Ovis aries: one gene and its partner. Each later gene encodes a partner of the first gene's protein in a complex. Links are inferred from orthologs where the notes say so. Each region holds a gene or a part of one and is shown in the gene's direction. Other genes may lie near its edges.

Region 1 (4,566 bases):
CAAATTTGGTTCTTAGTATATTCTCTGCCCTCTCCCAACCTTCTCCCCCCCCCCATTTTCCCCTTATTTGTTCCTACAAAAAGTCACTACATTGGAAACCCCAATTTCCCTCTCTGCTTCTCTACTTATTAAACCTTGAATTCATTTCTTTTTTTTTCTTAACTGGAAGTTGGAGCAATTTGGTTCCTCTAATACATGAGTTATTGGCATTAAAGATATTGAACATCAGTGGTTCAAACCTAAATGACTATTCCCCACTTGAAACCAAGGTGAGTAAAAAGTCTAGCGTTCAGTGGTGAATCATGAGCAAGGAAATGAAGGATGATGCTGAAAATGCTAAGGGACAAAGATCCCTCAGAAAGTATTCATACAAAGGGCACCTGAGATAGGCTGCTGTTTCTTCTTTGAAAGCCTAAGTCATCTTAGAAGCAGTGGAAACTTCACCTGGAGGAGGTAAGGAGTTTGGATTCAAAAGTCTGACCCTGCCAGAAAGTGCTGGAAAACCCAGCATTGTTTCCACAAAGCCCCCCATCCTGCTTAGGGAATGTGCCTACTTCCCCCATTAAAACTCATCTTCGGGTGAGTAGGGACAATGTCTATATTATTTGCTTCTTCATCCTTGATGCTGAGAACAATGCCTATCTCATGGTAGGGCAGAAACTATGTTATTGAGTCAAGTATTTACTTACTTATTACTTAAATAATTATTAATTAATGGATACTGCTCAGCAGCCATCACTATTCCCGACTGAAGGGGTTATGCTACCAAGAGCTTGAAAGTTCAACTTCCCAAGAGGAAAAAGAAACCAGCATGTATTTCTTCTTTTACCCCAAAAGCCTCTTTAGAAAAAAAAATCTTTGAGTTTCTTGTGCTTTAATGTATAATCTTAGTGTTGCTAAAAACATGCAGTAAAAAAAAAAAAAAAGTTTGGTAAGAAAACTGATATAGCGAATCATGGGCAAAGAACAGATGACCTAGTTTGATTAGATTTCCAAGAAGATATGACGAAGATTTAACGTAGTTCAAAATGATTGTCCTTGGTCTTCCTCCTTTTAAGGGTTTACTTGGTTTGTTGGGCTCAAAATCTTGATCAGCTAGGTTGCTGGAAATGGAGAGTGCAGATGGAAAAGGAAGAAGCATGAGCTGCGTGGGGCCCAGGGCGCTACGGACTGGGATGGCCGCAGAGGTGGGAGGGAGTCCTGCAGAGAGGCCAGGCGGACAGAGGGTATGAGGTCTACACCCAGGAGGTTACTCGAGGAGCTCCCATGAAGGGAGGAAAAGGAAAAACTAGCCAGAGACCCCACCTGCTTGAACCACTGCCAGGGGCCCTGATCACTGCAACTGCCAAGCCCGTTACTCAGAGTCACTGGCAGCCCCTCTGCCCCCTCTGCCAGATGCCGTTTAGGCCTCCTCCACTCACCTGCAAGAATCTTGCATAATTCTTCACCCTGCCTGCCCCCGGCCCACCAACCCAACATTAAAGTGACTTAACTGACAATATTTTTGAAATGATTCTTAATACTTATTCCTCTCAAATGATAATACACGAACAGGATGAAATTGTATTTACTTCAAGAAGCATGGTTAAAACCAAAAGGGGATCTTTGAGCGAGAGGATTCTGGTTCCCTCTCTTGTCCAGCGCTGTCGTCTCATTGAGGTGAACGCTGGCCACCCGACCAGTCACACTCGCAACCATGACGCTGAAGTGTTGCTTTCTAGGCTTCCTCCTCAGTGTCCTCCTGCCTGGTGTGGTAGGTAAGTGCTTCCTTTCTTCCTAATTTCTCAGTGTTGTCATCAGAGCCTGCTCCAGGGCACTATTGGACATGGCAGTCTCGCCCTTCTGGGCTTTGTAAAGATTTCAGCTCTCTCCTGTCACAAATTGGTCAGAACAGACATGGGGTCCGTTTCTCAGTGAGCTAAGTCGCTCCAGTTGTGTTTGACTCTTTGTGATCCTATGGACTGTAGCCCCCCAGGCTCCTCTGTCCATGGGGATTCTCCAGGCAAGAATATTGGAGTGGGTTGCCATGCCCTCCTCCAGGGCATCTTCCTGACCCAGGGAGCAAGCCCATGTCTCTTGAGTCTCCTGCGTTCGCAGGCAGGTTCTTTGCCTGCCACCTGGGAAGCCCAGTTTCCCTCTATAGCCTGGATAAATACATGCAGACTTCATGAGTAGCTACTAAAGAGGAGGCACTCTAGTGGGTTCAAAAAACTCCACACAGGACAAATACACACCCTTCTCTGTCTCCTTAGCATTTCTTTCAACTTCAAGGGACAAGCAGAGTTCCTAGCCCAGACTGCCTGAACCTGGATTTCAACTCTATCTCTTTATTATCTAGAAAAACTGGGCTGATTGGCTTAAACCGCCTCTGCCTTGATTACTCCATCTGTAGAATGGGGATTGCAGGTCACTGTGAGGATTAAATGAGTTAATAATATATGCCAAGTGCTTAGCACCGTGCCTAGCATAGAATAGATCATAAACAACATGTGAGAATTTGCTATTGGCATTCATGGAGAAGTCTTCAAGAACAGAGAGCATCTTGTCACCCCAGCTTACCTCTGAGCAAAACCATGGGGGGCCCCAGTTAACAGATGTGTACCTTTCAGTGTCAGTGGCTCAAGTAGCTTTCCCAGCATTCTACAGTTGCCCAGTGACTGATCATTTAAACACAACTCAAGCCTCCATTTCCCAGAAATGTGTGGATTTGGGTAGACTATGCCTTTGGTCTTTGGTCATACCAAGGATTCAATTAAAAGAATATGACAGGAATTAAGTGTCACCAAAATGACTTAGGTGCTGCATCTTACCGACCCTAGGCAAATCACACAACTTCTTTAGACCTCAGTTTTCCCATCTGTAAAACGTGCTAATAAAAGTACTCTACCTTATTGGGTGGTTGTAAGAATGAAAAAAGAGATGAAGCTCTGAGCACAGTGCCTGATAGATGGTTAATGTTCAAAATGTGTTTTCTTAATGCCAGCCAGGAAGAGGAGGAAGAGGGCAAAAGGGAGGACTATCTTTGACTCCTCACTGTTCTGCCTCCTCCATTGGCTCCTGTCCCCCCAGGCTTTGCTCTTGTTTTGCTGTAGCCGCTGAGAGGCAGGCTCTGGAGCCAGACAGCATTGGTATAAAATCAGCTTCACTGTCTGCCACTTTGCCAGCTCTTTTACCTCCCCAAGGCTTGGATTTTGGTCTGCAAGAGAAAGGCCATAATATTATCCTTTTCATAGGTGAGCTGGGCAAATTCAATGAGTTCTTGCAGGTAAAAGACCTGCGGTGTTTTGCACAGAGGGCTTGTTATTTTCTTTGATGGTGCTTACCAACAGTGTTACAAAAATGAGAGAAGCCTGAAGACAGATGAGATAAAGGACACTGGACCATTTGTTTTCAGGATAGCAGATCAACTGTAGGCAGGGTCTTTAAGAAACTGTGCCTATCACTTCCTATCAACTCCTGAAAACTTTCAAAGTTTTTATGTGCTAAATATGATTGATCCAATAGTGACTTGTGTGAGCAAAACCAATCATGGCATTTGACTCTTTCCAAGAGATATGTTCTTGTACTTTGGATGAAAGGAAGTCCAAAAAAGTAAAAAATAAACAAAAACCAAATAACAGCATTGACACTATTAGGTTGGTAAAAATAAATACCTAAGGAAGCAGCCTTACTCATTAGAGAATAACACATGTCTTATTTATTTACTTATGTTTGGCTGTGCTGGGTCTTCCTCACTGCTTGCAGGCTTTCTCTAGCTGCAGTGAGCAGGGGCTGCTGTCTAGCTGTAGTACATGGCCTTCTCATTGTGATGGCTTCTCTTGTTGTGGGGCGTGGGCTCTAGGGTATGTGGGCTCAGTAATTGTGCACGGGCTTAGTTGCCTCACAACACGTGGCATCTTCCCAGGCCAGGGATCAAACCTGTGTCCCCTGCATTGGCTGGGGGATTCTTAACCACTGGACCACCGGGGAAGCCCCGAGAATAACAAATTTCGAAAGTTCAGAGCGGAGATCATAGGCATCAAAATATTCACTTCCCTTTGAATGATATTTGAGCAAAGACTTGAAGGGGGTGAAGAAATGAGGCTTGTGGAAATCCAGAGAAGAGTATTCAAGGAAAAGGAAAGGGCCAATACAGAGACCTCAGATGGGGCCACGCCCAGCATGGTAGAGCAGGAGAAAGGAGGACACTCTGGAGAAGCCAGGGGGCAAGTGATAGAAGATGAGGAAGAGACAGGCGGGGGAGACATGCTTCCTGACTCCTGCTTCTGCCTATCTCCTATCCTTCAGCAGAAACGCTGGGCCTGTCGGGAAGGCAAAGCTTTAATTCTGCCTCTTTTACGTTTTCATCTGGTACTCTCTTCTTTCTTTTTTTTTTCGCTTACACGTTACATGACAAATTTATTCAGTAAAAAAGTCAACTAGGACTCTAGCAAAAAGATTAATAAAAGAAAAACTGTTTATGAGTGCATACACAGCACGTCACTAGTGAGGAACTTAAACAAAGATGAACTCAAAATGGCGTCTGAAAGTCCCAGCTTCTGTAGCATCTTCAACAAGGAATGATAT
Region 2 (4,429 bases), on another chromosome or scaffold:
ACAAAAGTGGTTATATCATATATAATAGGAAATTGGAAAAGAAGAGTTTTCTCATCTGGCATTCATGAATCAGCTCGAGTAAACTTGTGCAGTGGGTATGGTTTTTGTGTCCTCCCCTAACCTTCCCTTTTAATTACCTTCCCAAATGCTCAGTGTTCTCATGCTGTCTTAACTCTTCACTGTGGCCCCTTGCCGAAGGCCCATGCAATCTCACAAAATGCTCAGATTTCTACAATTATTCACATGCCTTCTTTGATGCGCCTGATCCAAGCTTGTTGCAAAAAGAAAAATCTGATCAAACTAATCTGCACGAATTTACATTCCTTCCCTTAGCAATAGATCAGTGCCCTTGTCCCCTGATCCCACCTCCTTGGGAAGGTTTCAGGTTTAGGTATTATTTAGAGTTCAATGTATTTTAATAAAAACCACCTGTAATCATTAAATTGCCAGATTCTCTTCTTTAGACTTTCATGTATCTAATAAAAAGTGTTATAAGGTTTTTGGAAATGTTTTGAGGGGGGGACTTGTGTGTTGTTTAGAATGAGTGCAGGTAAAATGAACTACTTGACTGTATTCTCAAAATACTTGCATGTTAAGAAAAATACAGATCAGATTGTTCAGCATTAATATTTTCAAGTTTAAATCAATATTGATTATGATTTAATGAAAAATTTAAGATATATTTGCATCTATTGTAATTGTTTGGTCACTTAAAAAATGCCATAGAATGGGAGGAAAGTTATGTTAGCCAATACTGCTATTTTAAAATTTAAGTCTTCTTCAGCATTCATCATATTTTTTTAAAAAGGACATAACATTTTAAAAAATAGAATTGTCTCCAAGCTGCCATTACTGCTTATTTTAAAGTAAAGGATATAGGTCCTTTTTTTTTTTTGATCACCTCTAAAGAGATAAGAATCTATGAAGCTGCTAGGAAAATGAGTCCGTGACCAAAATGTTTACTCACTACAAGAGATCAGAAAATTTTAAACTAAACCTGGAATCTACAAAGACAAAGCAGTCATTTTCTTTGAAAAGTATGTAGGGTTTAGAAACTTTCTGGGATTTGTCTGTAAAAGCACGCACCGGGCCTAATAGTGACGTTTTAGGGAAATGCTGGCGTATCAAGGTGGGAAGGCTTGGAGGTGGTGCTCTGTGGTCCCCTATGGTGGTTAGGTAGTTCTCAGAAGACAGCACTGGAAATTAGATAATTGCTGATGTCATACTTTTCACACACACAATTTGGTGTCCTGGGGGCTATAAAAGCAGCAGCTTCTACTTTCCTATCACAAGCAGAAGCCTCGAAACAGGTAAGTCCTCCAACGAACTTGGTAGGATTGGCTTGCTGGGTCTATTACTCCTGGATACTTAATTTTTCCCCTTAATGTTGATTTTGTTTCTTGTTCTCTTGATACCAGGTTCTTCTTCCCTAGTCACCCACTGCTCAGGTTTGCTTTGTCCACGATGGCTGCCCTGCAGAAGTACGTGAGCTCTCCCCTCGGGGCCGCTCTGGCCGCTGGCTGCCTCCTTGTCATGGTGCTGTGCGCCCAGGGAGGAGCGGCTGCACCCATCACGTCGCACTGTAGGCTCAACAAGTCCGACTTCCAGGAGCCCTACATCTTCAACCACACCTTCACTCTGGCTCAGGAGGTACTCATCTCAGTCCTTCTCTTATGCATCTTATCTACTTGGAACCTGAATAGTTCTTAAAATTTCTCCAGAGGACATTTCTCCAGACGAACATTAATCTCTACTGGTATACCTGTCATCACTTTATGTCTCTTTTAAGACTTTTTGGAGCTCAAGCTTTACCTCAAGACCTGTCATTTTGCCCTTTAGGAGATGCACATTCAGTTTTGCCCCCAAAGGAGCCATGTAGTAACCCATCTGACTGTTTATGGTTCCCTTTACTCCTCTAAGCATTCTTTTATTTTCTGAAGAGCAAGAAATTCACATTTTCGAGCACTTACTATGTTATGAGCTCTATTCTAGGAGCTTTAAATCCATTCTTTTTTTTTTTTAACTGAAGTATAGTTCATTGACAGTATTATTTAAGTTCCAGGTATACAGCATAGTGATCCACAATTTTTAGAGATTATTCTCCATTTATAGTTATTATAACATATTGGCTATATTACCTATGCTGTACATTATACTTTTTTATCTTATTTTTTAAATTTATTTTGAAGTTTAGTTGGTTTACAGGGTCATGTTAGTTTCCAGTGTACAGCATACTGATTCGAGTCTATATATATGTATAAGTATACCTATATATGTGTATATATAAAATATATGTATATTCTTTTATATATTCATTCCCCTTATTGGTTGTTATAAAATATTGAGTATGGTTCCTTGTACTATATGGTAACTTCTTGTTAGTTATCTATTTAATACATTATGGTGTATATATGTTAACCCCAAACTTCTAATTTACCCCTCCCCTCAACCCCTGAGCATCATTTTAAACCCATGAACTAAAGAGCCCTTTCTTTAGTCCTCACAGTGCTGCTCTGGGAAGAGGGGACAGAGTACAGCTCTCCTTACAGACATTTCTTCTAGCTTTATGATGTCCAGGCACTTAGTCTTTTCTTCTCTTGCAGGCTAGTTTGGCAGATAACATCACAGATGTTCGTCTCATTGGAAACAAATTGTTCCAGGGAATCAATGTAAGCCAGAGGCATGATGCCACTTGTGGTGACTTGGAGCGGTGGTGAGGATGGGCCGGGTCTTGTGGATGTCGCCTAACTTGAGCCCTGCTCTTTCACTTTCACCAGCAGGTGACGAAGCGCTGCTATGTGCTGAAGCAGGTGCTGAACTTTATTCTTGAAGAGGTGCTGTTCCCCCGATCCGATGAATTCCACCCCCATATGAAGAAGGTGGTGCCCTTCTTCTCCAAGCTCAGCAAAAAGCTAAGCCAATGCGTAAGTTCTTCTCCAGCCAAAGTCCGATCCTCCCAGGTGCCTGCCTTTCGTCTTTCTTCTGTGCGGAACCCTCTTCCTTCCCACCCCAGTGCCCCTTCCAAGCTGGTAGTAAGAGGTGCCTCCGTCACACCATTACTGAAGTCATTTGGCAGCACAACCTGTTTGCTTTTGCTTTAATTGAGTCACATTTTGAGTTGATTGTGATGGGCAGGGTCTGAAAGACCACAGGAGACTCATTTGTCCCTGGGAAAAAGCAATTCGGACTATGTGAGATGAGAAAGGTGTTGGGAGCTTTAAGGAAAAATACAAATGGTGCAAATGGATTCACTGAATATAAGTTGATGGAGGGAGGGGATGGGAAAGAGAGAAAGGGAGAAACAAGAAGATTTGATATTTGGCAGTGGGTGGGTGGATGAAGACTGCTGCCCTTTTGATACTGGAAGTGACAAAAATCAGAGGTGCGTGAGCTTGATGCCTCTGAATATTGAAAACTAAGAAAAATATTTTGGTGGAGTAGGCTGAGCAAAGGGGGCCTAGTATTTATTGAGGAGGGCCCTGTTCGCATGAGATATTTTATGTAGGTTTCTTGTTCTGAGCCCGTGTTTTTGATGAGGTGCCGTTATGGTTTTATTCTTGACAGGATTTGCATAAACCACTCTGCTCTTTCCACAAACTTCAACCTCAGTAGGGTTTCCCAAAGGTGAAGTGAGGTTCCGTGTAAGGGAAATGACTGGATTTTGGTGTCCCAGGGATTGAGGAGGTCAGAGAATCTAGGTCACTATTGATATCTAGGTCGTTGTGGGCAAAATTGCTAAGAACTTTAATTCCAGATGAAGTGTAACATGCTTCAGTTAGGAAGGCTGAGTCTCAAAAAGCTTCAGCACAACAATGTTAAACTTGTTGCTCTCACTTCCATTTTGCAGCATATTGAGAATGACAACCAGCACATCCAGAGAAACGTACAGAATCTGAAGAACACAGTGAAAAAGGTACTAGTAACAACTCTTAGCGCTAAATCATTTGATAGAAGAGGCAAATATTGTTTTTCTTCCTTTTCTTTCCCTTTTTCTCCCATGTCATGATTTTTTACTTGCCTCTCCTGCCACTGGGTTGATTATTTAGGTGCACATACATAGATGTGTCTACATGTTTATAAGTCGGTTTTCAAATTTTGCAAATTCTAGAACTGGCTGGGAACTTAAGTCATCTAATATTGTCACCCATGTGCTAGGGATGGCCAGTGTCAGAGTCAGAATAGACTGCAGGACCTCTGAATCCCATCCAGGCCAGAAGTGCTGGATATTATAGTTAGTCTCGTCAGTTCTTAGGGAAATTTAAGATACCTACTGATTCATTTAGTCTGAAGAAGCATTTGTTCAAAACCAGAAAACTGGGTAAAACTTATTTGAAATAATTTTGAAGTCATTCACATGATGATGTAAAACTTGGAGAAATATACCTAGAACAGCCATAATAAAAGAGCTGGACTTGCACACAGGGTGAAT

The links.
Region 2: the proteins of IL22RA2 (region 1) and IL22 are in contact, whole or in part, in a crystal structure (PDB 3G9V), measured with the Homo sapiens proteins. The link is inferred for Ovis aries from reciprocal best matches to the Homo sapiens genes IL22RA2 and IL22. Residues at the interface, in NP_443194.1 of Homo sapiens: Lys65, Ile66, Tyr99, Gly100, Gln101, Arg102, Trp104, Gln128, Glu129, Pro130, Tyr132, Met148, Pro150, Arg151, Thr153, Trp155, Trp156, Glu157, Glu200, Pro246, Met247, Leu248, Asp249, Arg250; in NP_065386.1 of Homo sapiens: Phe47, Gln48, Pro50, Thr53, Asn54, Phe57, Met58, Lys61, Ser64, Leu65, Asp67, Asn69, Thr70, Asp71, Val72, Arg73, Leu74, Lys162, Gly165, Glu166, Asp168, Leu169, Met172, Arg175, Asn176.

The regions. Positions count from the first base shown.
Region 1 is NC_056061.1:62,365,895-62,370,460, reverse strand, and holds the start of IL22RA2 (interleukin-22 receptor subunit alpha-2), read left to right. Parts: upstream 1-1,653; 5' UTR 1,654-1,696; coding exon 1,697-1,757; intron 1,758-4,566. UniProt on the Homo sapiens protein: Isoform 2 is a receptor for IL22. Binds to IL22, prevents interaction with the functional IL-22R complex and blocks the activity of IL22 (in vitro). May play an important role as an IL22 antagonist in the regulation of inflammatory responses.
Region 2 is NC_056056.1:151,693,932-151,698,360, forward strand, and holds the start of IL22 (interleukin-22 precursor), read left to right. Parts: upstream 1-1,454; 5' UTR 1,455-1,464; coding exon 1,465-1,650; intron 1,651-2,603; coding exon 2,604-2,669; intron 2,670-2,777; coding exon 2,778-2,924; coding exon of another isoform or gene 2,925-3,101; exon of another isoform or gene 3,102-3,847; coding exon 3,848-3,913; exon of another isoform or gene 3,914-3,933; intron 3,934-4,429. UniProt on the Homo sapiens protein: Cytokine that plays a critical role in modulating tissue responses during inflammation. Plays an essential role in the regeneration of epithelial cells to maintain barrier function after injury and for the prevention of further tissue damage.